2 linked regions of the Elephas maximus indicus genome follow. The protein of the gene in region 1 interacts with the protein of each later gene in a pairwise test. Links are inferred from orthologs where the notes say so. Each region holds a gene or a part of one and is shown on either strand. Other genes may lie near its edges.

What was found.
Region 2: the proteins of PLAA (region 1) and UBXN1 interact in binary tests that used the Homo sapiens proteins (3 or more experiments, as listed by UniProt). The two-hybrid records come from large-scale screens. The link is inferred for Elephas maximus indicus from reciprocal best matches to the Homo sapiens genes PLAA and UBXN1.

Annotation. Positions count from the first base shown.
Region 1 is NC_064827.1:36,632,055-36,643,393, reverse strand, and holds the start of PLAA (phospholipase A-2-activating protein), read left to right. Parts: upstream 1-6,246; 5' UTR 6,247-6,644; coding exon 6,645-6,793; intron 6,794-11,339. UniProt on the Homo sapiens protein: Plays a role in protein ubiquitination, sorting and degradation through its association with VCP. Involved in ubiquitin-mediated membrane proteins trafficking to late endosomes in an ESCRT-dependent manner, and hence plays a role in synaptic vesicle recycling.
Region 2 is NC_064825.1:125,850,527-125,861,139, reverse strand, and holds UBXN1 (UBX domain-containing protein 1), read left to right. Parts: upstream 1-5,545; 5' UTR 5,546-5,645; intron 5,646-5,755; 5' UTR 5,756-5,775; coding exon 5,776-5,834; intron 5,835-5,973; coding exon 5,974-6,027; intron 6,028-6,116; coding exon 6,117-6,223; intron 6,224-6,310; coding exon 6,311-6,380; intron 6,381-6,620; coding exon 6,621-6,812; intron 6,813-6,907; coding exon 6,908-6,959; intron 6,960-7,071; coding exon 7,072-7,188; intron 7,189-7,695; coding exon 7,696-7,888; intron 7,889-8,052; coding exon 8,053-8,102; 3' UTR 8,103-8,210; downstream 8,211-10,613. Other genes in the region: LRRN4CL (LRRN4 C-terminal-like protein), read left to right, coding at 1,487-2,197.

The sequences.
Region 1 (11,339 bases):
TGCTTTGCTTTGAAATTCTAAAAATTTTTGTAGGCACCCATTTTTGTAGAATCATCAAATCTTGAAAGATAATAGATGCCAATTCACAGGGGGAAGTGGCAGTTCCTCTCCTGTTTTATGAAATGCCCAGGGGGAGATGGTGGCTCTGGACCTGTTTTATGATAGTTTCTCAATAAAGGATCACAATGCTAAAATTAAAGCCATCAATAGCTACTTTAAAGTACTTTGCAATTGGAGGAACTAGTATATTTAAGGCCTGTATCAGTCATCTAGTACTGCTATAACAGAAATACCACAAGTGGATGGCTTTAGCAAAGAGAAATTTATTCTGTCACAGCCTAGTAGGTTACAAGTCCAAATCCAGGGTGCTGGCTCTACGGGGAAGCCTCTCTCTGTCGGCTTTGGAGGAAAGTCCTTGTGCTCAATCTTCCCACGGTCGAGGAGCTTCTTAGGCGCAGGGGCCCCAGGTCCAAAGGAAGTGCTTTGCTCCTGGTGCTGCTTTCTTAGTGGTATGAGGTCCCCAACTCTCTGCTTGCTTCTCTTTCCTTTTATCTCTTGAGAGATAATAGGTGGTGCAGGCCACACCCCAGGGAAACTCCCTTTACACTGGATCAAGGAGGTGACCTGAGTGAGGGTGGTGTTATAATCCCACCCTAATCCTCTCAACATAAAATTACAATCACAAAATGGAGGACAACCACAGAATACTGGGAATCATGGCCTAACCAAGTTGATACACACATTTTTGGGTAGACGTAATTCAATCCATGAAGGAGTCTATAGGAAAAACACTGAATGATGAAGGAAACATCAAAAAAATATGGAAGGAATACACAGACAGTATACAAAAAAGAATCAGTCAACATTCAACCATTTCAGGAGGTTGCATATGATCAAGAACCAACGGTACTGAAGGAAGAAATCCAAGCTGCACTGAAGGCAATGGCAAAAAACAAGGCTCCAGGAATTGGTGGCAATAATCTCTGCAATCCCTCCAGGAATGCAATATTATTTTTCGCTTACTATTTTCCTAAGTAGGGGCATTCCTAATGGCTTCCACTTGGTTTTTCCTACCGTAATAGCCCTTACTCCACTTGTCAGGGATCCAATGTGGGGGTTCTTCTAATTGCTGAGTATATCTATTCCAATTACCCATTCTGGAATTGGGCAAATCATTACAGGATGGGTTCTCCAGAGAAGCAAGACCAGCATTTATAAAAATATCAAGGAAGTGGCTCATGCAGTTGTAGAGGCTGGAAAGTCCCAAGTCCGTGGGTCAGGCTGGAGGCTTCTCCTGACTTTGTAGCTGCAGAAGCTGGTGAACTCAAGATTGGCAAGTGAGGCAACAGGCCTTTGGCTCACAGGCTGCAGAGGCCATCATATCCTAAGATTGGCAGGTAAGCTTCTAGCTCAAATTCCAAGCACCAGAGGTCAGATGAACAGGAGCCAGCTGCACGATCCAGAATGAGCAGTAGCCTAAAAGTTTTGCCAGAAAGTTCACCTATACTGGATGCAGGCCATACCCCAAGGAAACTTCCTTTCAACCGATTGGCTGCTTATAACAGATCCCATCATGGAGGTGATCGCATTATATCAGATCTCATCATGGAAGTGGTCACAACATTATAAGACTGCCAATGTACATCATAACTGCCAAACCACTGAGAATCATGGCCCAGCCAAGTTGACACGCAACCTTAATGATAACAAAAGGCAAAAGAAAGGTTTGGGTTAAGGTGTTGATGTAAAACGATTCTGCTCATTTTTACAATGGGATTGATCAGAATGTCACCTTTTCTTAAGATCCTGGTGAAGAACCAGATGGTATCCAGTGGAAAACCAACACCATGAGCTTAAAGAACTTGCCATGATTGTCATCTAGGAACCTGACTAAGTCCAGGTTTTGTTCATCCATATGCTATCTCCAATCTCCAATCAAAGGAGGGAGTGACTTAGGGGTCAAAATTGGATCAATTATTCCCTGTCCTTAAATATAAAGACTGTGACCCAGGTAGAGCTAGAATCACAGGAACTCACAAGGACAACAATAGCTAGGACCATCTTGGAAAACATCTTTTAAGAAAGCTTTCATATAAACAAATACTTAGAACACAAAAGACTCACACAGTTTCCTGACTGTTTTTGCTGAACTTGTACCAATTATTATTAAGAAAGACAATTCAAAACATACAATCATGAGGATTTTACAGTTTTCAGCCAATCTATGAAAAGGTGAAACTTTTAATGGTTTTACCCATTTGTAATGTCTGTACATACTGATGATTCAGTAACATTCATTGGACACGGGTTGCATGGCTCTGGCAGCATACTTGTCCTTTTCCTATTTTTGTCTCTTGGAACACAGGCAGAATAAAATCCGTCTTCTTGCTTTACTATAACTTTGTTGTGATTTTACTCTAGGACAACCTCAATGTAAAGAAAACAAAAATCCTCACAACTGGACCAATAAGCAACAATATGATAAATGGAGAAAACATTGACGTTGTCAAGGATTCCATTTTCCTTGAATCCAAAATCAACACCCATGGAAGCAGCTGCCAAGAAATCAAAAGACACATTGCATTGGCCAAATATGCTGCAAAAGACCTCTTTAAAGCATTGAAATGCAAAGATGTCACCTCGAAGACTAAGGTGCACCTGATCCAAGCCATGGTGTTTTCAATCACCTCATATGCATGTGAAGGCTGGACAATGAACAAGGAAGATAAAAGAAGAATTAATGCGTTTGAATTGTGATGCCAGTGAAGAATATTGAATATACCACGAACTTCCAGAAGAACAAACAAATCTGTCTTGGAAGTACAACCAGAATGCTCCTGAAAAGCAAGGATGGTGAGACGTTGTCTTACATATTTGGACATGTCATCAGGAGGGACTTGTACCTGGAGAAGGCTATCCTCGAAAAAGAAGAAGACCTTCAGTGAGATGGATTGTCACTGTGACTACAATGGGCTCAAATATAGATTGTGAGGATGGTGCAGGATCAGGCGATGTGTTGTTCTGTTGTACAGATGGGTTGCTATGAGCTGTAACCAACACAATGGCACCTAACAACAATAACAGTGGATTTAGGGCTCCTTACTAAATCATATAAAACCCTGGCGGCATAGCGGTGAAGAGCTACAGCTGCTAACCAAAATGTCGGCAGTTCAAATCCACCACGTGCTCTTTGGAAACCCTACAGGGCAGGTGTACTCTGTCCTTTAGGGTCGCTATGAGTCTGAAGGAAACCCTGGTGGCATAGTGGTTAAGGGCTACAGCTGCTAACCTAAAGGATTGGCAGTTCGAATCCTCCAGGCGCTCCTTGGAAACTCTGTGGGGCAGTTCTACTCTGTCCTACAGAGTTGCTATGAGTCGGAATTGAATCAACAGCACTGGGTTTTTCGGTTTTATGAGTCTGAAAACATCACACTGAGAACTTAAATTGCAATGTTTACAGCTAGCTGTCCGATTATTCCATGTATGAGAGAACCTACTGCCATTACAGAGTTTTCTCCCTTAATGCCTTCAGGCATGTTGGAGGAGGTCCCAGCATTTAGTTATTTGTATGCAGATGTGACAACTGAATGAAAATATTTGTTTAAATCTTTCAATTTTTAAACGCATAGAGAATAGTATAATTAGGAAAAAAGTACCAAGGACCCAGTTTAGTATTCACAGAATTTAAGGTCAGTCTCAGCTCCATTCATTTATTCATCCATTAACTAATTTAATCAACAAACACTTTGGAGCACTACCCATGGAGGAGGCTAATTCTTCATTTGTAAGTTGGGGATAATAATATTATCTACATTAAAGGGCTATTGTGAGGATTAAATGAGAGACTATGTGAAAATTGCTTTGTAAACGAAATAATATACAAAGTTGAAAAACATTTATTAAGGACCTAATCAGTGTGAGGTACTAAACTGGACGCTTAGGATTTGAAGATAAAGAAAGCCATTACAGGTACTGAGGGAAATTTAGTCTGGAGGAAAAGACAAAGACAGAAATGAATGTATTAGAAGGCAGTATATGCTATAATGCAGATAAATAAAATTGCATTGTTCCTCAAAGGATAAGGAGCCAGATGATAATTAAACTGGTGTGGTAATAGGCCAAATGGAGAAAGAATGGCATTCCAGGTTAAAAAAAAAAAAAAAAGAGCCATGTACAAAGAACGTGGAAACCGGAGACAGCATGATGTGTTCAGGGAATTGAGAAATTCATTGTGGCTGGGGTAAGAGATTCATGAAGATAATGGAGAATCTAGTAAAATAGATTGAGGAAGTAGTATAAAAAGCCTTGTACAGGTAGGCCCTGATTTACGACTTTTTTTAAAATCATCTTATCATTAATAATATGTACTACATACAATTTGTAGTGCATAACTGGCTGATGTTCTTCTCTTGCCAACCCTCAAAGACAAATACAGACCGATTTTATAAAGACATTGATAATAAAAGGCAATAATAATGAAAACTTATTTAAAAAAAAAAAAGATTTATGACAGAGTCCTCAAAACGTAACCCATTGTAAGTCCAGGACTATCTATATATTACTATACCTAAGAAGGGAAGACATCGGAGGTTACTGAGCAAAGAGATAACATATTTTAGACAGGTAATCCTATTTTGATTGTGTGGAATTGGATGGAGAAAAGGGGCAGAAGGGGTAGAGAATGTTGAAATAATTGAAGGAAGAAACAGGCAGGTGGAGATTTCTAGCAGGCAGCTGGAAATACAGACCTGGAGTTTGGAGAAGTCAATCTTGGAATATAGCTTTAGAAACAAGCAAAGTTTTAACTGGTCCACCCAGGAAGAGGGTATGATGGCAGAAGAAATACTAAAATGCTAACATTTCAGTACTTAGGTCAGAGAAACAAAAACTATGTGAGTAGTGCTTCAAAACCTAGAGTGAGAATTTCGAGAAAGGAGAGGTCAGAAAAGTGTGGATTGGACTTGGAAATTAGGAGGGTTTGTGTACAATTGGAGTTAGATGCAAAGGAACAGTGGATGGAATGGTAATGGAAGTTGAAAATGAGGCAGGTGATGTAGATCCTTAAGGCTCGGTGTAGTCTGCACACCAGCAGCGTCGCCTGGGGGCTTGTTAAAAATATTCTCAGCATCCCACTTTGGAGAGTGGCGTCTGGGGTCTTACACTAGCTAGTGGCCATCTAAGACGCATCAATTGGTCTCAACCCACCTGGAGCAAGGAAGAATGAACACCAAAGACACAAAATAATTATGAGCCTAAGAGACAGAAAGAACCACATAAACCAGAGACTACATCAGCCTGAGACCAAAAGAGCTACATGGTACCAGCCACAACCGATGACTGCCCTGACAGGGAACTCAACAGAGAAACCCCCAAATTCTCATAAAAAAAACCAGACTTAATGGTCAGACTGGGACTGGAGGGACCCTGGAGGCCATGGACCCCAGACCTTCTCTTAGCCCAGGGCAGGAACCATTCCCAAAGCCAACTCTTCAGAAAGGGATTGGACTGGAATAAAAAACCAAAAAACCAAACCCAGTGCCATCGAGTGGATTCTGACTCATAGCGACCCTATAAGGGGATGGAAAATGATCTGGTGAAGAACCAGCTTCTTGGATCAAGCGGTCACATGAGACTATCTGGAGGGGAGACGAGAGGGCAGAGGGGGCCATAAGCTACCTGAATGGACACGAGGAGAGTGGAGGGAAGTACTGTGCTATCTCGTCAGCAGGAGAGCAATTAGGAATGTATAGCAAGGTGTATGTAAATTTTTGTATGAGAGACTGACCTGATTTGTAAACTTTCACTTAAAGCACAATAAAAATTAATTTAAAAAAATATTCTCAGCTCCTTCCCAAACCTACAGAATCCAAACCTGCACTTGAACGAGCTCCCGGGGAATTAACAGGCAAATGAAAAATAAACGTGGACCACCGAATTTTCTGCTAAGTTTGATGATAGTGGGCAGAGATCATGGTAACTTGAAAAAAAAGCAAGTGTTAAAGGTTTGGACCCAAGCCCTCACGTTTTAATAAAAAAACGCTTAGCTTATTAAAACTTCAGGAGGATATGCAGAGAAGGTTTGGGAAGAAGGCAGCGAGTCTCCCCTAACCCAAGACACCGAACAACCTCACTCTACAGCGTGCAGCGCTGGGGATGAAGATTTAAAATATCCGGACCCAGCGCACAGGAAGTTCACACCCCAATGGCGCATGGCATTATGGGATTTGTAGTCCAGGCCCCCAAGCCCCACGTCTCGATTTACAACAGTCTTGTCCCGGCTTTCATGGACCCGGGGCAGGAGATCAGGTGTCGCTGTCTCTTTCTCAGCCGGAGGTCCAGAGCGCAGGAGGAAAGCGAACCTTAGGTCGCGCTGGATTCGAAAGTCGGGGCGCACACGCTCTGCGTCATGGCGGGCTGAGGCCGATGATGAATTCCGGTGTGTATGTCAGGGTTGCTGTGTCACTCGGCCCGCTCGGCGCGCCCCTTCCCGGCCACCCTTCCGCACCGGTTTCGGGTTCTTCCGGTCTCCCGGCGCCCCTCACCTGCGGATCCCGTCAGTACCGCGGCCTGGCGAACGCCTCGCGTCCCCTGGGGACAGACCTCGCGCGGCGTCCGGGTCCCGCGGCGCCGGACTGACGCGGGCCATGGCAAGCGGCGCCGCCAAGTACCGGCTGAGCTGCTCGCTCCCGGGCCACGAGCTGGACGTACGCGGCCTGGTGAGCTGTCTCTATCCGCCGGGGGCCTTTGTGTCCGTGTCCCGAGACCGCACCACTCGCCTCTGGGCCCCAGACAGGTGAGCGCTGCGAGTCGGTCTGTCTCCTGGCCGTGTTGCACGCTTTTGGGCGAGTGTGAAGAGAGTGACCCTGTCCTGCTCTGTCTGCTCTCCTCTCTCTTTCCAGTCTTCCGTCTGCTTAGCGTTCTCTCCCACTTCTGAGAGCTCTGGCGCTCAGGACGCGCAGTGTAAGAAACCAGCGAAATTTAAATGGCAAGAGCATCGCATTGGGGGATCACAGACCCGACTTCTTGTCCTAACCTGACCACTAACGAGTGGGTGACCTTGGCCGAGCGTATTACCTTTTGGGGCTACAGTTTTCTTATTTGTAAAGTGAGAAACTTTTGGACAACACGATCTCCCAAGTTTCTTTTAGTGTTGAAAATTTATTGATGCCAAGTGCAACCTCTTAAATGAAATGTGAAGGTACTTAGCAATTGAAGTAAGTCATGTTTTTTCCCTTTGAATTTTCTCTGTAGTTTTATCTCAGATTTAATTTTTGAAAACCTTAGTTCTCAAAAATTGCATTGCGAAAAGTTGCATTGGCTCCCCTCGTTGTCCGCGTCTGAGTTTCTTATTCTGGGATATCTGATGGGCTTGGGAGGAGGACATGAAATACCCTCGTGTCTTATGGAAATGCGTGGATGTGCTGTTTGCTTGAGAAGAGATCCCATTGCTTTCAAAAGATTATTCTAGGGGTTCATGATCCAAGAAGTGTCAAGAACTACTCCTTCAGTTTAGATAAAGTTCAAGGATTCAGCCCTGATTTTACTGATTATAGAAAGAAATTTAAGACCTGGAAGGCAGATTTCAGTTCAGAAAAAAATAAATAAAACCAAAATTAGAATGAGGTACTTTGTTGTGTAGTAAGTCTCCCGTCACTAGGGGTATTTACTCAGAGTTTGAGTGAGGGTCTCTGAATTCAATTGATAACTATTTATTGAGTGCCTCCTGTTTGTTTGAAATCTGGAGAGGAATAAATAATAAGATCCCTGTGTTTATGGAGCTTATTTATAGTTTGGTGAGGAAGATGGATCAAAAAAAAAAGCAAGTAAGTAATTGCAGATTGACATAAGTACTATGAAGGAAGCAAATATAGAATTGGATGGAGAAAAATGTTAAAGAAGGAAGCTTCTCTTAGGGGGCATTGAGTTTGTGTTAATGGTGGTGGAATGATTTGGAAAAGAATAGCAAGAATGGTTGCACAACTTGAGGAAAAGGAATAATCAGTGTTACTGAGTTTTGTTAAGTGTGTTTTCATCACAATAGAATTAAACGTAAAAAAGGAAGAAGAAAGCCTATCTAAGGAGGTGACATTTAGGCTGATGTTTGAAGAATGACATGGAGCAGATCAGGAAAGGGTTGGACTGGAAGAGTGTCTAGGCTGCAGGAGGAGCAAACACAGAAGCCCTGGATTGGGAAAGTCCCTGTGTGGCAGGAGGGATTGAGTGGTGAAGTGAGGGCAGGTCTTACAAGCTGGCAGGAGCCAGGACCTGCCATGGTAAGAGGGCAGAGAAAAGGGAGTGTGGAGGGGAAGCCTTCAAAGGATTTCAAGCAGGAAGCAGTGTGATCTGATTGACCTGTTGAGAAGTTTTACTAATTGCTGGTAGAGAGTAAATTGGAGAGGGCAAGTGTGGAAGCAGATCTGTTTGGAGGCTTTTGCAGCAGAGCAGCTAAGCTATGAGGGTAAGACTAAACTAACAATATTATAGAACAAATTCTTGCGTTGGATTGAAGATGACCTTTAAGAGTCTCTTGTAACTCTAAGATTCTATGATATTCCAAATCATTAGTAACACTAATATGTAACTTTTTTTGTGTATACCCATTAAAAACCCATTGCTGTTGAGTGGATTCTGACTCAAGTATACATAAAAAAAATGATTTTTATGTATACTTGAGTACAATTATGGATTAAGCTTGTACTTTTAAAAATAAGTCTATTAAAAGCATATGCCCAGTAGACTGTAAAGACATCGCAATAGTGAGATCTAAAAGATGCTTGTTGTAGTAGTTGCATCCTGTTATTACACTTTTGCATATTTTGTAGGACCTGGCCAGGAGCCCTGGTGGCACAGTGGTTAAGTACCCGGCTGCTAACCAAAAGCTTGGCGGTTGGAAACCACCAACCACTCTGCAGGAGAAAGTTGTGGCAGTCTACTTCCATAAAGATTTACAGCCTTGGAAGTTCTATGGGGCAGTTCACCTCTCTCCTTTTGGGTCACTATGAGTCAGAATTGACTTGACGGCAACAGGGTTTTTATTGTTTTAGCATTTGGCTAGGTTCTCAAGAGCTTATATCACTGCAGTGGTTGCATTTACTAGGAATTTGTGGAACTTGGGCTGCAGTGAGCCTCTGTTTGAAAACCAGTTTTTTTCATTTAACTCATGATTTTTTATTTTTATTTTTTCAAATTTATTCATGCATTTATTCAACTGACACTGAAAGCCTGCATTGTGCAGGGCACAGGTATATAGGTAGCGGGTAATATAAATATCAGTGAGATAAGATTGTTTTACTTCTCATGTTCAGCTATTCAGATTAGAGTGTTTCATAGTCACTGGGGATGGACCTCTTATGCGTCCCATCTAGAGGGTCTCAACCATACCTTCCCTTTTGTTATAAAAAGCATCATTAAAGCAGACATCCTGGCAGTTTTTATTTCATGATATATTAATAAAGTTAATAAAGTGCTATAAAATGTTTGGAGCCAAATAGTAAATGAAATTTGCTTTCCCATGTACATTGTTGATGTGGTTCTAGATCAGGATGGACTGGGAATGATAGGAGAATATGGTTCCAGTGAGGCAGAAGTAGTCCTGTTCTAGGGTGGATTAGACTTGTCTTTCACAAAAGCCATTGAAAAACCAAAAAGTTTCCTGGCCTATGAATGTCCTCCAGAGTGGAGGTGTCAATTTTTTGATTGTACGTTGAAGCAAACTGTTGATGTGCCATTGTTTCAGACTGCTTCAGGCCTCTGTGAGCCCTTTCCAAACTAAACTGCATTCCCCAAGTTTGTTACCAGCTTCAGGGTAGAGAGAGGTGAGGTAAGGATTCAGCAGCTTTGCAGTAAATTTTCCCTAATCATTGTGGAGGCTAAACTGACCTTTCCCTTGTATAAACGCTCAGCACTTTGGGTCCTTAGTCAAATAGTTCTGTGGGATTTGTTAAGAAAACAAAGAAATTCCCTTCCCACTCCATCCTGGTTTTCTTTTCTGGGAGGTCAACGTTTTCATCTCTTTTAATTGCTTATTTTGTATTTTATTTCCATGACTATACTTAAAACGCTTATGTTGCTATTTCTCTTTTTTTATTTTAACTGGATGCCATCGAATTTATTTCAACTCATAGCTACCCTATTTTTTATTTTAGGTGTTATTAATTTCTACTATGGATTATAAGCATTTAGCTCTCTTTACTCTTCAAGTACCCCTATCAAACATACATCGTTTTTGTGCCCTGATCCTTATAATATAACTTAGCTGAATTTTGACTAAATCAGTATTTTGTATTTACATAATAACAATGGCTACGTAAATTCTTTCTACATCTGAGCTTTGGAACAAGGTGTGATTTCCTGAGCAATTTTATGATCTGAAACTGATATAATAACTGTGTGTTTTTTGCTTTCTGATCTCATTTTCTATATGTTCATCACCAATTTGATTTCAGATTCTTTGCTAGTTGTCTAAATCGCCTCCAGACATTTAGACGCATCAGATATTTTACAGTTTCATCTTGGCAGTGAAAGCCTTCTGACCTGGTCAGTCTGCCTCTGGTGCACCGCTAATCCTGGTATCTCTCATCTCCACAATTCTCTTTTTGGACCTCTTGTGTTGGATTTCTATTGTCAATATCCTGTAACTTACTTTTTCCTGGTTCTTCCCTGTTGCATATCGAGCATGTGCTCCAGGAACTTCCTGAAATATAAAAACCTTGTTGCTGTCAGGTTGATTCTGACTTATAGTGACCCTGTAGGGCAGAGTAGAACTTTGCCATAGGGTTTCCAAGACTGTAAATCCTTACAGAAGTAGACTGCCATGTCTTTCTCCTGTGGAGCAGATGGTGGGTTCAAACCGACAACTGTACCGTTAGCAGCCAAGTGCATTAACCACTGTACCACCAGGGTTCCTTTTCCTGAAATACAGTGCGGTAATAATAAATGTATTAAGGGAAGCCTTGGTGGTTCAGTAGTAGAATCCTTCCATGTGGGAGTCCTAGGTTCAGATCCTGACCAGTGCACCTCACGTGCAGCCGCCGCTCATCTGTCTTGTTGCTATGATGCTGGACAGGTTTCAGCAGAGCTTCTACACTAACATGGACTAGGAAGAAAGGCCAAATGATCTACTTCTGAAAATCAGCCAACAGAAATCCTGTGGGCCACAATGGTCCTGACTGCAACAGAACAAGGCGATGGTACAGGACCCTCTGGCATTTCATTCTGTTATGTACGGGGTCGCCATGAGTCCGAGCGAACTCAGTGGCAGCTAACAACAAGGCCTTGTCATTCTGAATATGATTTTATTTTGCCTTGATTCTTCATCGATAATTGGTTTTGGCATTCTA
Region 2 (10,613 bases), on another chromosome or scaffold:
TGTTTGCATTTATGAGCTTAGGCAGTCCACGGAGTGAGAACCTATCCTGACCCCTGTCACGCTTCTTGCTCTTCCCATGTGACTCTGATCGCTCTCTGGGGAGGGGAATAGTGGAGGGTAGCTCTGGAGGGCTGGAATACTCACTCTGACCTCAGCACCCCTCCCTTTGACTGTCCATTGGGAGGCAGAAGGCAGGAAATGACTGCCATGGATGCGGTGTTTTAGAGAAACAGCATTTTGTAGTCTGGCTGGGCCCCATGCTGTCCACAGCTGTTTTCCTCTCTGGTACCAGCCAAGTGGCCCTCAACCTCATGCTCCCCTCCCCACCCCTTTCCATGACTCCAGCCTTGGGCTCCTGGCTGGCTGCTTTCCACATTCCACTCGCTTTTCAGAACCCAGGCGTCCTGGCCTCCAGCTGAAACCTCTGCATGTGGCTTCCCCTCCCTGGCCCCGTGACTCAGGCACTCTGAAGGGGCCAGCCCTCCTCTTGGCACTCAGGCACTCACCGGGTGGGGGTCAGAGGGAGGGGGCTAGGTGGTGATATCACAGCTGAAGGGTATAAAAGCTTCTAACCAAGAGAGAATTGAAATCGGAAGACACAAAACCCGGCCGTACAGCCTGCGATCTTGTGGACCCCTCAGCCTGATCCCCACAGACTGCTGATCTCTGGTTCCAAAGTCTTACTGGTGAGAAGCCTCTGTGGGCCAGGGAGGGGTGAGGGGAGGTGGTGAACAGACAGGATCAGGACTGCTTGGACAGGAGTGGTACCCGTAACAGGTGGGGGGTGAGGAGTCCGGGGTCCTTATTTCCTCCTGTTCCATATCTGGAAGAGCCCTGGTACAGTGGTTAAGTACTCTGCCGCTAACCGCAAGGTCAGCAGTTCGAACCCACCAGTTACTCTGAGGTAGAAAGATGTGGCAGTCTCCTTCCGTAAGGATTTACTGCCTTGGAAACCCTATGGGGGCAGTTCTGCTCTTGTCCTATAGGGTCACTATGAGTCAGAATCCACTTGACCACAATGGTTTGGCTTTGGTTCCACCTCTTCTTTCTCACTCGTGTCTCGTTTCTCGGTTTTCATATATGTCGCCGACTGATGTTTGTTTTACTTAGGTCTTTTCTCTTTGTGGCAGCTGGGAGTCGTTCCACCTCTCCCTCCCTAGGCTGAGTCAGTCACCCCCTCCTCTTCTTGCCCCAGCACTTTGTTTATTCATCAACTGTTTCTAGCACATCACTCCTTGCTGGTCTCACTTCTGTCTCCGTCTCTCTCACATGCCCGACCGTATTTTGTTCCTTTTTGTCCAAAACCGAGCATGTAGCCTGGGTGCAGAAGCTGGCTGACAAGTGAGTGCGTCTTGTCTCATTCCCACCTTTTTCTGGCTCCTGTCATGGCCCCTAGTTCTATGTCCCCGTCTTTGGAAGTTTTGTTGAGGCATGGGGCCTGGGAGACGTGGAGTCTAAACAGCTTTACCTATTGCTTCCAGACTCCATGCTGGGCTCACCCTGCCTACTGTGGCTCCTGGTCGTGACCTTCTCCTTGGTTCCCAGAGCTCAGCCCTTGGCTCCTCAAGACTTTGAGGAAAAGGAGGAAGATGAGACTCCAAGGCCACCCTCCCAGCCTGTCCCCTGTGACTATGACCGCTGCCGCCACCTGCAGGTACCCTGCAAGGAGCTGCAGAGGGCCGGGCCCACGGCCTGCCTGTGCCCTGGACTCTCCAGCCCCTCCCAGCCACCAGACCCACCTCGCCTAGGAGAAGTGCACGTGGTGGCCGAGGAGGGCCGGGCGCTGGTCCACTGGTGTGCTCCCTTCTCCCCCGTCCACCAATACTGGCTGCTGCTTTGGGAAGGCAGCGGGGCTCCCCAAAAGGGGCCCCCCCTGAACTCTACCGTCCGAAGAGCAGAACTGGAGGGACTGAAGGCTGGGGGGGCTTACATCGTTTGTGTGGTGGCTGCCAACGAGGCAGGAGAAAGCAGCGTGCCCCGGGCCGACGGGGAGAGCCTCACGGGGGCCAACTTTCCTGCCTTCGGGCCCTGCGGCCGGCTTGCCGTGCCCCCCAGGCCGCTCACCTTGGTCCATGCGGCCGTGGGCGTGGGCACAGGCCTGGCCCTGCTCAGCTGCTCGGCCCTGGTCTGGCACTTCTGCCTACGGGAGCGCTGGGGCTGTCCCCGCCGCCAAGCCCGGGCCGCAGAGGGGCTCTGAAGGGGCCTTGGGGCCTCTCTGGCAAAGCCAAACCCCACCTGGGGAGCTCAGCCCAGACCCAGGGGAGGAGCCGGAGATGGCCTCTGCAGCCTGGCTCGCGACCCGCTGGAGCTGGATGGCGGAGCACCAGGTTGTGCGCTGAGCTGCAGGCCCCAGGTGCCCAATTCTCTGGTCTGAGAGCTTCCTTAGGTCCCACACTTGTCACTTTGTTTCTGGCTGAGATTGAAGGAAGACTATAGACCAAAAAAAAATAAGCAACAAACCTGTTGACTTATGGCGTCCCCATGTGCTTCAGAGTAGAAATGCACCCCCTAGGGTTTTCAAGGCAGTAACCTTGCTGAAACAGAGCCAAGCCCTTCTTCTGAAACGCAGCGGGGTGGATTTGAATTGCCAACCTTTCAGTTAGTAGTCCAGGGCAAAACATTTTCGCCACCCAGGGACCAGACAACAGAACGGGGGTCGGCAATTTTTTTTAAAGGGTCAGATAGTAAATAACATAGGCTTTGCCATTGAAGAGGATAAAATCAAGGATTTTTTGCGTTTTTAGTATGTAGGTACTTATATAACCATTTGAAATGTAACCATTTAAAAATATAAAAACCATTCTTAGCTTGTAGCCTTTACAAATCAGACAGCAGACCAGATTTGGCCTGCTGGGCTGTAGTTATACAGCTTTCTGTCTTACACTCTCAAAAGGGGTCTGCCACTTTGGGTGGCCTCAGTGGGACTTTGAGAATATAAGCTTCTGCAGGATGGGAGTCTGAGGACAGAGACCACCCCCTTCTCCTTCTGCCTTTTTGTTCAGTTATTAAGGATGAACACATCCGAGTCAGAGTCCACCTGTGTCTAAGGGTAGAAATAAAAGTCTGATGCATTGGCAAAAAGGGAGGGATTGCCTGAACTACCATCTGTTCTGCTTGTTTAAAAAAAAAAGGGGGGGGATTTCCCCCTTTTCCACCCCCACTTGTGTTTATTGTGCATCATTAACGACATTAAAGGAAGCTTAAAAGACAGATATTTCCATTTTCATGTTTTTTTCAATCCCCTATCCACACATCTATTTTTCAGAGTGATACACACAAACTTTTGAATTTATGTTTAAATTAACTGGGCACAGAAAAGTCTATTTTACGTTGCTGCATTAAAAAAACAAAAACCAAACCTGATGCCATCTAATCGACTCCAATTCATGGCAACCCCATGTGTTACAGAGTAGAACTGCTTCATATAGTTTTTTGAGCTATAATCTTTACAGAACCAGATTGCCAGGCCTTTTTTCCTCTTTTCCTCGGTGCTGCTGGGTTGGTTGGAACCTCCAACCTTGAGGTTATTAGTCGTGTGCCACCCAGGGAACTTTACTGGCCTTATAACATGTTTTCATAATAAAAGAAATATACAAATTTCAAGGAATATTGGCAAATATAAAGTCGCAGTTCTCCTCAAGAGCTAATTGCACTTAGCAGAGAAGTCTTTCTCTATGCAATGCAAATATTTTGCTTTTTCAGGCAATATATCACGGACAAAGTTCCATGTCAGTAAACGAGGTATGTTGATGGCTGCATACATTTCCGTAGGAGGATGCTCCTTAACTGACTTTAGCCATTGCTCTTTGTCGGAACCTTTAAGTTGTCTTCAGGGTTTTCCATGAACATCCTTGTTTGTGCATCTTCAAATGTTTTGTGAGAGTATTTCTATAGGATACTTACCTGAAAGTAGGTCAAAAAGGCAGCACCGTAAGTTTTAACCATTCGCTTCTTACAGAGACTCTAGAATAAATTCAAAATGCATTTGTTTTCTAAAATACACCTGTTATCACACTGCAGTGAATAACTTGTACCTTCTAGTTTAATTCCTGTATTTCTTCAGCATTCATCCCTTTATGAATAATGACAGAGCCTGTTATCTCATTATTAAAGACGTGCTTTACATGCATTCTCAATCTTCACTACAATCATTTCACAGGTGAAAAATCCAAGGTTCTAAATGGTTTGAAGATACAACCAAGGAGTCGAGCTAGGATTTGGGCCTAAGCTGCCCAACGCCAAAGCGGATGCTCTCCTCTCCACCACGGAGAAACAACGTTTAGTGGTTTAATGAATGAACACCTTCTGGGTTTAAATGCTGGCTCTCCTACTTATCAGCTTGTGACCTTAGGTAAATTATCTCATCTTTCAGTGTCTGTTTCCTGTGACTAATAATACATCATAGGGATTGCTATGATGATTAAATGAATTAATCATATAACAGTCTCCAGTGGGTAATATATTATCAGCATCAGTAATTTATTATTGCTCTGCCTCCTAAGAAACAAAGTGAGCTTGACTTTGTAGCAGGCACTGTGCAATAAGCGTATCTCCACCTTCAGGGCTGAAAATGAGCCCCCTAGGTTGAAGGCACTCCGAACATTCAGAGGTGGCAACAATGGACTGGAGCATACCAAGGAGCGTGAAGATACCACAGGACCAGGCAGTGTTTTGTTCTGTTGTATATGAGATCGCCGTGCGTCAGAGTAGGCTTGAGAGCAACTAACAACAACCTTTAGGGATCTAACAGCCTGGGTAGTGGTGGAGGGCTAAGCAATCAACGAAGACTACAAAGGAGGGGTAAAAATGTATAATGGGGTAAATACTAGAGCTGGGACCAGAGAGGGGTGCTCAAAGCAGGCTTCCCTTAGAAAGCAAACCTTGAGTTGAGTCCAGAAAAATGACGGGGAGTTAAGGAAGCCCTGAGAAGAGGCAGGGCACCCCAGAGGGACTAGCAGATGCAAAGGCCAGGAGGAAGGAGAAGGCTCTGTTTTGTAACATACACAGGTTACCCTGAAGTGGTGGGAGGTGAAATTGCGTAATAACAATCAACATTTATACAACACTGTCTTGCCAGGCACCTAAGGTAGGTGCCCTAACATAAAAAGGGGACAGGGGGAGGAAGGCAAATCAGCATTTGAGTGTTGTTCTGGGTAACTGGGGTGTCCTGGAGAAATTTTAAGCAGGAAGGTGAAGACAGGATCAGATCCTGTTTTTTTGCAAAGATCCCTCTGGCAGGTGGGCGGAGGATGGCTCAATTCCCCGGAGAGGATGAGTGGGTCAAAGAGTGTGCACATTTCTACGGCTCCTGATAAACACTGCCAAATAACTCTGCTGATGGTTGAGCTAATGGGCCAGATTCCTCTTAATATCTAAAAAGGGTGAGGCAGCGTTAACTCCCGGGAACTGGCCCCACCCCGCCCACGGGTTTCATGGCCGCGTCGTCCGTCCTCCCCACCGCCGCCTCCCAGCGCCGCCCGCCCCGCCCCGCCCGCGCTAGGCTCCGGCCGCCAAACCAGGCACGTGCTTTCTGTCTCTCCGCAGCACCCGTCCACGGCCGCTCCCACGTGACCCAAACAGATTCGGGCACTTCCGCCTCCCCTCGGCTTTCTTCTTGTCGGTGTCCGCGGCGGACCCAGAGCCCGGTGAGCGAGCGAGCGAGCAAGGGCCCGGGCCGCGGCGTCGGGGCGGCCTTGCGTGCGGGCCAGGGGCGCCCCGCGGTGACCCGCCCCCGCCCTCCTCCTCGTCTTCTCAGGCTCCGGCGGCGACGGCGCCATGGCGGAGCTGACGGCTCTGGAGAGTCTCATCGAGATGGGCTTCCCCAGGGGACGCGCGTAAGGGATCCCCCAGCCCCGGGCCGCGGCAGGGCGCAGACCCGCCCCGGCCTATAGCCCCGTCCGGCCTCCAGCCCTGCGCCCCGGCTTGTCCAGCACCATGGCTCCTCGGCGCTATTCACGGTGTTTTTGCTCTCAGGGAGAAGGCTCTGGCCCTCACGGGGAACCAGGGCATCGAGGCCGCGATGGACTGGTGAGTGCTTCGACTAGGTGGCCAGCGGTTGGGGGTTGCTCGGAGGGGGCAGCCTCAGCGCCAACCTGTCTCCCGACCCTCCCTGCCAGGCTGATGGAGCACGAAGACGACCCCGATGTGGACGAACCTTTAGCGACTCCCCTTGGACATGTCCTGGGACGGGAACCCACCTCTTCAGAGCACGGTGGCCCTGCAGGTCCTGACTGGAGGACGAGCTGTGGTTATTGTGGGGTGGGGGGCCTGGAAAATACAGAAGGCAATAATACTGGTGGCTTGTTTGTAGGACCCGGGTCTACCGCAGGAGAAGGAAAACCCAGTTTGAGTGAAGAGGAGAAACAGGAACAGACTAAAAGGTACAGTAAGGCACAGTCTCACAATCTGGGGGTCATCTTCCATCTCTCTCCAGTACAGAAGTCTGGTCTAAGAAGCTTGAACTTTCTCTTCCCACTCTTTTTTTGGGCAGTTTCCATTTTGTTTTTTTCACTTATTTTGGGATAGATGTTCCCTGATTTTGTTTTCCAGGCTAATTGTCATAAATTCACGTCCCCACTCAACGTCCATTTCTCTTGAGCTCTATCCTTGCTGCAACACAGGATGATGGAGCTGGTGGCCCAGAAGCAACGGGAACGTGAAGAAAGAGAGGAGCGGGAGGCGTTGGAACGGGAACGGCAGCGCAGGAGACAAGGGCAGGAGTTGTCAGCTGCCCGACAGCGGCTACAGGAAGATGAGATGCGCAGGGCTGCTGAGGAGCGGAAGAGGGAAAAGGCTGAAGAGTTAGCAGCCAGGTCTGTGTGATCGGGATATTGGATTAGAGGGGAGAAAATAAATCAAAATTTGCTTTGTCAGTGGCTGACCTACTTTCTTCCTTTCTGCCTTCCAGACAAAGGGTTCGAGAAAAGATTGAAAGGGATAAAGCCGAGAGAGCCAAGAAGGTGGGCGATTGGATCCCCTCTTCCAGCTTCAGAAGGAAAGGATGGGCTTATATATGATGTGTTTCTCCTGAGCCGGTGAGTGCCCAATGGAGTGTTTTACTTTGTCTTCTAGTATGGTGGTACTGTGGGTTCTCAGCCATCCCCATCAGCAACAGAGCCAGGTCCTGTTCCCTCCTCTCCCAGCCAGGAGCCTCCCACCAAGCGGGAGTACGACCAGTGTCGCATACAGGTACTGACTGATTTCTTTCTCACTCCTGGGACCCTTCCTTGGTCTGTAAGGTGCCCGGCTTAGGGTTTTTTTCAGTTATGTTCCTTTTGCCAAACCTCTCCCTTTTTTGTAAATGACTTTTGAAATCCTACCTCCTCTCCTCTCAGAGGAGGTATCGAATTTCATCTGTCCCAGTCTTATTTAAATCCATAATACCGCTCTCTTACTCAGCAATTACTCTTGTTCATGGCTTTTATTTGGTTTATTGCACAGTTACTCGGGTAATATATCTACTCACGTATTTTTATATAATCTCGTCTTTGTCTTCTCAAATTGTAAGGGAGGTGGGAGTTTTTTTTTCCAGCATTTAATAAAGCAGAGTATAAGTGGTTGTCATTAGGTGCTCTAAATAATAATAGCGCTGGTTCAATCTCTCTAGGAAGGATGGGCCCACTTCAGCTTTTCTGTACTGGGGCCCCTCACTCAGTCTTGACTACCACAATACGGTACCTCTTCCTTACCTTCTAGGTCAGGCTGCCAGATGGGACCTCACTGACCCAGACGTTCCGGGCCAGGGAACAGCTGGCCGCCGTGAGACTCTATGTGGAGCTTCACCGTGGGGAGGAGCCAGGAGGGGGCCAGGACCCTGTGCAGTTGCTTAGTGGCTTCCCCCGACGGGCCTTCTCAGAGGCTGACATGGAACGGCCTTTGCAGGAACTGGGTATGGCATGTAGGACCAGAAAGGAGCGCTCGGGGGTAGAGGGACATGCCTAGGAAGGGAAGGGATTTGATGAGAAGGAGCTTTGGAGATGATGTGAGGCCAGGAACCTTTGGGGCAAAGAGTAGGTATCGTTGTGGCTCAAGCCTGTTTTCTTCTGTCTTCAGGACTTGTGCCTTCTGCCGTCCTCATCGTGGCCAAGAAATGTCCCAGTTGAGGGGCTTTTATCCTACCATCCCTCTCTGACCTCTTCATCTTTGATAAAGCACTGACATCCTCTTCCTAATAAATAGATCTTCTGAGTTCTGTACGTGCTTGACTCCTTCCTGAATGGTTGGGATGGACAAATGGAGGCAGAGGAGGGAGCTAAAGGGAAGGCATTGGAATAGCCCCTTGTTCACATCTTTAGTTTCCAACAAAAAAAAAACTTGTTTTTATTCCCCCTGGTCTGATTAGCTAGTTGCTGGAGAGGCTGGGGGTGCTGGAGAGTAGGGAGTATATAGTGGATGGTACCTTTTGTTACCATGAGTGAGAGCCAGTATATACATACGCTTAAAATCCAGATTTTGTCACTAAGTGAATATAAGGATCAGCACAAAGCTGGTACCTATGAGGCAGAGGTTAAAGATTTCCCAAATGTCAAACTTTTCCAAACTGCTGTCCCACTCCATCATCTTTAACATCAGCTACTACTCCTCCCGTCTTTAGGTTCCATAATTCTCTACAGCGTCTCACAGAACTTACCAACTGTATCAAGGAAATGGCTCACAGTTGTAGAGGCTGGCAAGTTCCAAATCCATGGGTCAAGTGTAGGCTTCTCCTGACCCACACAGCTGCAGGGAATGATAAACCTAAACCGGCAGGTTACACCCCAGGGTACTGGCTCAGGATGCTGTGGAAGCTGGCAAATCAGGTCAGATGGCAGGCCTCTGGCTCAAGTACCAACAACTGGAGGTTAGGCAGTAATAAACTAGAGGCAGGGTCCTGATGCAGAAGAAAAAGAGCCCCACTGGAGCACCCACATATGTACCTTAAATGTACGCCACACCCCAGAGAAGGGTGTGACTTGAGTAATGTGGGACTTAAGGCTGTGTCTCAAAGTATACCCCATAGTAACCCTGACTCATTAACATATAGAGGTTAGGATTTACAACACACAAAACGGAGGACAACCATACAATACTGAGAATCATGGCCTAGCCAAGTTTACACACAGCCCCAGCCACCACAGGTTCCATATACCTTATCTGCACAGTCCCACTCAATCACTGCGTGTGAGTCACAAAGACTGTGGCTAGAAGGGCCACATTAAGTAATTCATTGTACCACAGTCACTTACTAGCTTTGCAGCTTGACTTAATCCTAGTTTTTTCTTTAGTAAAATGGGGATAATAGTACCTGTTTCTTAAGAATTGTGAGGATTAAATAACACCGCTATAAGGTGTTTTAGCAATGTGTCTTGCACCTAATAAGTATTAGCTACTAAAATGAGATTTTTTTTTTTTAAATGTGGCTGTCCCTACAAATGTCAAGAGGAGCATTAGGGTGACTTTTGTAAGTGCATCGCTTGTGCTCTAAGAGTAAGTCATAAACCACACTCGTGCTTTCCTCATCATGACATCAGAAGGTACTGAGTGCTTTATATGTAATAACAGATATGAGGGCACTATTATCCAGGTGTAGGTACAAGTCTCCCATTTAAGAGATTAGGATACCAAAGCACATGACTTGCCCACATTGACACAGCTAGCAAGTAGTAGAACCTGAACACACACCTGGGAAGCCCCTGACTTTCGGGCTCAGGCTCCAACCACACTTCTCCATGGCAGTCCCTCTCACCGCTGCTCATCACATGACTCTAGTGCTCCCTTAAACAGCTGCCAACGTCTTGCTTCTTATTCCCAGGCTGGCCATAAGTAACACTGGAAAGATCACGCACGAGTATATTTTGCTTACACCTCCACCATCTGGCAGCTGGAGATAGCACCAGTGCTCATAGCTGGGTTTACACCTCAGGGCTAAACCAAAACCAGACCCAAACCTATTGTCAACTCAATTCCAACATTTTGCTTACAGCTCCACCATCTGGCAGCTGGAGATAGCACCAGTGCTCATAGCAACCCTACAGGACACAGTGGAACTGCCTCCTAGGGTTTCCAAGGAGTAGCTGGTGGATTCTAACTGCTGACCTTTTGGTTAGCAGCTGAGCTCTTAACCATTGTGCTACCAGGGCTCTGAGCTCAGCTACCAAGCTTTATTTAGTGTTCTCAGTTTATTTAATAAAAGCAGCCTTTTTCCAACTGAATTCTTACTTAGGATAGAAAATAACCAAAAGAGGAGTGGCTTCATTGACTTGGGTATAGGGCTTGGGACCTCACTACTTTATCTCATCCCTCAGTGGCATCTCCAACAGATCCTGTAGATTCACAGAGATTGGAAACTCTTACAGTGAAAACCCTAAGGAGGGGGGGACCTACATTTACTGAGTGCTTGTGCTATCTGTGCCAGGCACTACACTTTGTATTTCTAAGTTAACTTTTACAGCAACCACCAAGGCATAGTTACCACCTTTTATAGATCAGGACTGAGGCTTGGAGAGGTTTTATAACTTGCAGGAGTTGAACCAAGATCTGTCTGACTCAAAAAAAAAAAAAATTATATATATATATATATACATATATATATACCCCTCACTACCCCCCAATAGCTAGTCAACCTCTCTAAATCC